2 linked regions of the Mus musculus genome follow. The protein of the gene in region 1 interacts with the protein of each later gene in a pairwise test. Links are inferred from orthologs where the notes say so. Each region holds a gene or a part of one and is shown on either strand. Other genes may lie near its edges.

The links.
Region 2: the proteins of Fez2 (region 1) and Scoc interact in binary tests that used the Homo sapiens proteins (3 or more experiments, as listed by UniProt). The link is inferred for Mus musculus from reciprocal best matches to the Homo sapiens genes FEZ2 and SCOC.

Annotation. Positions count from the first base shown.
Region 1 is NC_000083.6:78,415,094-78,418,990, forward strand, and holds the start of Fez2 (fasciculation and elongation protein zeta-2), read right to left. Parts: upstream 3,060-3,897; 5' UTR 2,991-3,059; coding exon 2,740-2,990; intron 1-2,739. UniProt on the Homo sapiens protein: Involved in axonal outgrowth and fasciculation.
Region 2 is NC_000074.6:83,440,032-83,443,945, forward strand, and holds the start of Scoc (short coiled-coil protein), read right to left. Parts: upstream 2,632-3,914; 5' UTR 2,391-2,631; intron 1-2,390. UniProt on the Homo sapiens protein: Positive regulator of amino acid starvation-induced autophagy.

The sequences.
Region 1 (3,897 bases):
GGGCAGGGTATGCCAGCCATGAGGGTTCTATAATGGACTGAGGGACACAGGGAAAGCCTGGCAGCCAGTGTCTACTTTGGTATCTTAATGGTCACCTCAGCCTTTTGTCCCAGGTTGGAAACCTGACATTGACTACATACCTAACACTGGCCAAGGTCACAGAATATTCTAATAGGTGAGGAGTCCCAGGTTTGAAAGGGTTTTATCTGTTGGTCACATCCTTCTTAAAAGAGGCCAGAAGATAAAGACAGTGGAGTAGCTCTCCCAGAAGGAGTAGCTGTGGGTTCCAGAGTCCAAGAAAAAAAAGAGAACAACAAGCAAGCCTCTCTCTGCCGTCATCTTTATCATAAGATATTACAACCTGTCATAAATAGCTGCTAAGAGAGCTCCCTATGGAGTCAAAGTCCCAGGGACAGTGGCTCTCCTAGAGCAGATAAGTACAATCCATACGGACAGAAACTGAAACCAAAACTCAAGGGAGTCAAGTAAAAGACCCAAGTCATGGCAGCAAATGGGCAAAGGGGTTCTCTAACCACTGAAACAGGTTACAGTTGACCCCACAAAGCAAATGTATACAAGAGAGAGGACACAGAAGAAGTGAGCCCTAGCTCTCTGAAAAGATCGTTTACACATTCCCAATTCAGGAGACATGCACTCTCCCCAACACACCACCTACTAAAAACCACTGTCAAGGGCAACTTGGGCTACAAACGAAGGGGAAAGGCTAGAATACTTGCCTAGCATGCATGTGCCCTGGGGTTAAGTCCCAACACCACAGAAAACTGGGTGTGTTAGTGTACACCTTTAATCTCACCACGCAAGAGACCAAGGCAGAAAGATGGAGGTTCAAGGTCATCCTCACTACAAAATGAGTTTGAGGCTAGCCTGAGCTACATGAGACTCCAAATGGAGGGAAAAGGGTAATAAAATAAAACCAGGCTTAGCAGCTTATGCATATAATTTTAGCACAAGAAGGGCAGCAGGAAGACCAGGAGTTCAAGGTCAGCCTGAACTGCAAAGCAAGTTCAAGGCCAGCATGGGCTGCAAGACACAAAACAGGAAAAGCAACAAAATAGTTTAGATTTTACAGCCACCTAACTCTGAAGCACAGGCTAAAATAAACTTTCCAGAAAGTCCAGCTGAACCCAAAATAGGTCTTCTCTAAGAATCCTGGTACAAGCTACACTCACTCATCTGTTTTAAGTAAAGTACTCATAAATATAAATTTAAAAATCCTGAATGTGCAGTAAGTCTCAATAATTCAAGTCTATAAATCTACATAGAGGAAGCCATCTGCTCTTTGGGGAAAATCTACAAAAGTCACCTTTTGCTGTGCACCGCATGCTTATCTCTGCATTTAAACTCCCACCATACACTTATACCTCCACTGCCCTTGAGGAGAACATGGCTAGTCACCCATGTTAGCATAGGTCCTCTCTCTCTGCTCTCTCTTGGTAAATTTCCTAATTCCTTGAGAAATTAAAACTCTTTAATGCCATGAATCTTATCATAGTTCAAGAATTCCTCCCATGGTTTTGGTGCCTAAAGATACCGGGCATCAAGCAAGACCAATGACCCCGGAGACCTGGGATCTGTAAAAAAAAAAAAAAAAAAAAAAGAGAGAGAGAGAGAGAGAGAGAGAGAGAGAGAAGCTGACTGTACAAGTGGTCTGACTCCAAGGATGCGTCTGACAGGCTTGCTTTACCCGTCCACAATCACACAAGTACTCACACAAAATTATTAAGATGTAATAAAAAATGCTGTTGTTTCAATTCTCCTCACTAACATGTAGTGTCTCCGGCCACCATTGTGTTCCCAATGTTCTGGAAACGGGTCCTACCCATCACCTTCCAAGAGGGCCAGTACTCTTAGGGTCTCCACTCACCCTGCAAACAAAACACTCGAGCTCACTGGCTCGCACCATTCTTTTGGCTAGATTTTCACGAAAAGATGCGGTACATAATTACAACTCTCGTGTAAACAAACAATAATTGGGTTTAAAAGTGTCTGAATAAAGCGCTTTCATCAACCCCTGTGAATGTCATCACACTGAAGCTAATCACAGAGAAAACGGGAGCCATTGCTGCTGTGCACTGGTCTTCTGGATACACTATTAGATATCATTAGTAAGGGCTACCATTTACTTTTTGCCTCTGTGACAGTTTGTTCTTGTGGGCCCAAGAGACTTCTATAACTTCAATGGTAACTCACACCTCTGCACTCTGCCTAACTCCCAGATCTCCATCAAGGATTCAGTTAGCGGCTATAAAGTCTTCATTCGGACATCCCCTTTGAAATCTCCCGTATCCGGTACAAATACCTATCAAAGTACTCATTACACTCGGAAAACATGTGCTTAACCAACCTATGTCCCATCCCACTTTGTGTCCTACTTGAGAGGAGCAATGCCCACTTCGGCATCCCCAGTGCCAGGCCCCATGACAGGGGCTTTAAGAAAAGCGAGTTGAATGAATGAACTGAGCCACACGTGCCCCAGGAGGCAGGGTCTCCACAAGGAAGCACACAGGGGTCTGCAGGAGGGTTCAAGGGGAAGGAAGGCAGGGCAACAGCGGGCATTTAAACTCCAGGGCCAGGCCGGCAGCCCCGGGGCGGGGCTCAGAGCGACCGAGGAAGAAGGAGGGCGCGGGGCGGGGCCTGTGGGGACTCCCGGCTGCGGCGGGGGCAGGGCGAGGTTGGGGCCGCTCCCGCCCGCCCGCCCGCTCCGGGGCCCGCACTCACTCGTCCCCTTGCAGGAGGCTGCACTCCGTGATGGGCCGCACGGCCGCCCGTGGGGGCTCGGCCTCCGACGTGGGGCGGAAGCACAGGCTCAGCTTCTCCTCCAGGCTGGAAGCCAGCGCCGGGAAGCTGTCGCCGCCCGCGTGTGCCCCCGCGCCAGCCTCCGGGCTCGCGTTACAGTTCTCCTGTTCCTGGACACTCCCGGCCGGCTCCTGGAACTCATAGAAATCCTGCCAGTCCCCGTCAGCCGCCATCGCGCCCGCTGCCGGCGCCCCGCCCCGGTCAGACAGCCACGCCCTGTCGCTTCCAGGCCACGCCCCAACGGTGCCCGCCCACTTGAGGCCACGCCCCTTGTCCTCCAGCTCTTGGTTGAGCGGAGACCCAAGCTGACTTTAAAGTCTTCCCTTCCTGAGTCTTCTGGAAGACCTTAACCGAGTTGAGTCACTTCCGATGTTCTTGAGCATTTAGAAACAACTTCCCTCAGTGTCCCTGTCTAAAAGTGGCTAAAAGGAAGACTTCTTTAAACCTACTTACTGTCAGATTTTTGCCCCATAGGAACATTTCTAACACTCCATCTAGATTGACAAGATTTACTGGGAAATGTTTGCTTGGTACCAAAATCCATTCCACAAATACATCTCTCCCATGTGCAAAACGCATGCTTGCTAATAATTATGTGAGTGAATATGCTCAAAGTACTTAGAAAATGCCTCAACAATAAATACTCACCTGCTTGCTATGCATGGTCACTTCTTCATTACTGTAGCCCGACCTTTAAAATTTAATGAAAATTAAATCTTGTAAAAGCATGGCTGAGGTATGGAAAGCTTTCTTTTCATAGACCTAGCTTCTTATTTGTTTGTTTATTTGCAAAATAAAATTATCCATGAAGGTAAAGAGCAGTGATTGTTGTATGCCATATACACTGTACCCTGAAGATGGCTAGGATTATAGTTTTATCACATGCATTTAACTACAACAAAAATCAAGGAAAGTAGGCAGATGCAGTAAATGCCCAATAATAGACAGAATCATTATTCCTTCAAATGTGTCATTCAGGTGGGTGAAACATCTTTCAATAATATATTATAAAATGTTATAAAACAGAGGAGCAATGCAGCTGGGGAAGAGGGGGAAGGGGGTAACTGGGAGGAGTTGAGG
Region 2 (3,914 bases), on another chromosome or scaffold:
AAGATGTTCCAACTGGTAATAAGGACACATGCTCCACTATGATCATAGCAGCCTTATTTATAATAGCCAGAAGCTGGAAAGAACCCAGATGTCCCTCAACAGAAGAATGGATACAGAAAATGTGGTACATTTACACAACGGAGTACTACTCAGTTATTAAAAACAATGAATTTATGAAATTCTTAGGTAAATGGATGGATCTGGAGGATATCATCCTGAGTGAGGTAATCTAATCTCACACACTGATAAATGGATATTAGCCCAGAAACTTAGAATACCCAAGATACAATTTGCAAAACACATGAAACTCACAAAGAAGGAAGACCATAGTGTGGGTACTTCATTCCTTTTTAGAATGGGGAACCAAATACCCAAGGAAGGAGTTACAGAGACAAAGTTCAGAGCAGAACCTGAAGGAACGACCATCCAGAGACTGCCCCATCCCATGTTTATGGGATCCATCCTATAAACAATCACCAAACCCAGACACTAGGCAGTTGCCAACAAGAACCTGCTGACAGAAGCCTGATATGGCTGTCTCCTGTGAGGCTCTGCCAGTGCCTGGCAAATACAGAAGTGGATGCTCATAGTCATGCTTTGGACTGAGCACAAGGTTCCCAATGAAGGAGCCAGAGAAATACCCAGAGAACTGAAGGAGACTGAAGCCCCATAGGAGGAACATCAATATGAACTAACCAGTAACCCCAAAGTTCCTTGGAACTAAACCACCAAAGAAAACACATGGGTAGAACTTGTGGCTCTAGCTATATACGTAGCAAAGGATGGCCTAGTCGGCCATCAATGGGAGGAGAGGCCCTTGGTCCTGTGAAGTTTCTATGACCCAGTATAGGGGAATGCCAGGACCAGGAATGGGAGTAGGTGGGTTAGGGAGCGATGGGGGAGGAGATCTTCGGAGGGAAAACTAGGAAAGGGGATAACATTTGAAATATAAAAAAAGAAAATATATAATTAAAAAAATCTCAGCCTCAGCATCCTCATCCATAAAATGGGCCTAATAACTGCATCTTATGGGTTTGTTCTGGGAATTTAATACATCCAGCTATGTGTTTGTGTACTTAGTAAGTATTCAACAGATGTTAACAGACCTTCTCATCTCTACTCTCTTGTTTTGACCACAGAAGAAACTTTAGAAAAATCATGTGGCCAAAGGCCTCATATTAGAACTCCTGGCCTAATCTGAGAGTGGCTTAATTCACATCACAGTAGTCCATCCAGAATCAAGGATATAGTCAATGTCCACTCTGCTTTTCCCATCATTCCACCTCGGCTGGCCTTAACATCTCAGATATGAGTTTGACATTTCCCTAATATCCTTTCAAACTCAACCACCAGACTTCTCTTGAACCTGCAATTAATGTTTTCCATCCATCATCCACTCACCAGCAATAGTTTTTTAAATTTAAAAGTCCAATGCACTACAGGAATGCACTGAACACTTTACATATATAGTTTTATCACAACAGAAAGAAAATGCAATTCACAGATGTGGATACTAAGCCTTATAAAGGCTAGAGGCCTTGCCTCATGTTTCATAGCCAAGATATTATTAAGGTCCTAAACTGAGTTTGAAAAACTCAACTCCTTTGGCGTTTCCACAAACAAAACAAATATAAAATTTCATCTGCATCCACTCCAGTGTGATGTTTCTAATCTGTTCATGTTCTGCTTTGACATTTTAGGGCTTTCAAAATCGATGGAAATCGAGGAACTACATCGTCAATAAGGATCAAACTTAAGTTAGATCCCCGGGGAGCTAGCTGCATCCAGTTTAATCATTGGAGCATACAGACACTAGGATTCCTACGCACAGCTTTGAGTCGCAGAAACGGATAACGGTTTGGGGACCTCTGTCCTTCTGGCTATTGCGACGTCTGTCTCTGGTGGTGTAACAGAAACCTTGGCTTTTCGGGAAACTATGATTTCTCCTTCCCAAACCTTACTCCTCAATATTTGTTCCGCAGGACGCCTGAGAAAAGCTGACAAAGAAACAAACCCAGGTTCTAGCAAAGACGTCCCACCCCAGACATGCACGGGCCACCACGCCTGCAAAGCAATCCTAGCACTCGAGAGGCTGAAGCAGAAGAATTGCGGCGAACTGGAAGGTAGCTCGGGCAGCAGAGCGTCTTCTCCTACTACCCGGTCCCATCGCACCCCCACGGCGTCCCGGTCCCGCACCGCCGGGCTCTTCCCACTGAGCCCGCGGCGTGGGGCCGGGAAGGTGGCTGCGCAGCGCTCGGCGGGATGTCGGGCCTCGCGGCGCCGCAATCCAGCACCCAGGCCGCCGCCCGGGTTCCCGTTCCATCCCGCCCCGCCCCACAGGGCCTCGGCGGTCTCCCAGGCCCAGCCCTCGCCGCCCCGAGCCGCCTCACCTTGCGTCTGAAGCGCCGGGAAGAGGCGGGATGGGTAGGAAGCCTCAGGCCGCGCGGCTCTCCGACCAACTGACAGCGTCAGCCCCGCCCTTCCCGCCCACGGAGCGTGCGCCGAGCGAGGAGGCGTCCTCCCACCAATCCTAACTGGAAATTGCACGCCTGCGCACTGGCTGCTGGACGCCTCGACAGGCCTGTGGCAGAGCACCGGGGTCCACCTTTGCCCTAACAAAAGGGCATTGACGACCAATCAGGATTTTTGGGCGTGTCCTAAAAAAGCAGCGACCAATCACGGCGCAGAAGAGAAGATGCGCCTAAGAAAGCGGTCCTCGCTGAGCATCTTTTGTCTCGCCAGGAACCTGGAAAGTGGGGTGGAAAGTCACTCTAGGTTAAAAAAAGAGAGACGGGGAGAGAGGGAGGGAAACAGAGACAGAATTTCTGGAAATTGCCGTGACCAGACTCTAGGAGAGAGATATTTCGTTCACATTCAAGAACAGAGTGAGCAGAACAGTGCAGCGCCCTCCCCCCTCGATTCTAAAAGCACGGTTTCCTTTTTCCCCACTTCTAAAATTAGATAACGCACAAAGCATATACCATTAATGGATGTTTCTCTTCGTACCCCATATTCAGGACAATTTTTAAACTTCCGTTCACCCGACCACGTCATGATTCCTTAGATCAGCAGTCTCCTGATCTCAGTCTCAGAAAACCCAAGGCTTAATTAAAATTGTGTTTCTTATTCAAGTGTACATGTACAATGCCAGACTTTGGGTTGCTAGGTGATTTTCGTGACACTTCATTATAACCTAACCTTTGAAACAAGTATCTTGCTGTTAGCGGTCAGTGACCACAGTATATTCTTACCTGCAAAGCATTCTTGCTTTGACTTTATCAAAACCTCTGAGCTGTAGAGGCCAGCTTACAAATACTTTCTTCTTGGCTTTTCTTTCTTATATAAGGTTCTATTTTTAATTGCATGAATATGTAGCGGTGTGTATGTACTTGCTTGTGCCTGTGCAAGGTGCCTGCAGATGCCAGAAGAGGGAATCAGACCCCTGGGATTGGGGTTACAGGTGGCTGTGAACCATTTGGTGAGGATGATGAGAACTCAACTCAGCTTCCCGTGAAAGAGCAATAAGTACTGTTAACTTCTGAGCCATTTCTACAACTCCCGGGTATCTTAAACCAATCAAGCAGGATTTGCTAACACGTGACCGTAATCCTTTATAAATAAAGTACCTACCATTTAGTGTTTGAGACGAAAGTATTAGGCTTGGACTACAATTCAGGATTTGAAGGAAGGAGAATATGGGAAGAGAGGGAAACCCCAGGTAACGCTAAGAGGAGTGCCAACAAAATAGAATGAATATGGGCAACATTCAAAGAAGGATGGGATTTTCCAAGATAGTGAAGAACACACTTTCTTTTCAAATGCACATGGGCCAGTCATAGAAATGGGCCTGAAAATTTGTTTTTGGTTTTAATTTTTTATTGTATGTATATTTTACTTGCATTTATTTCTCTGAA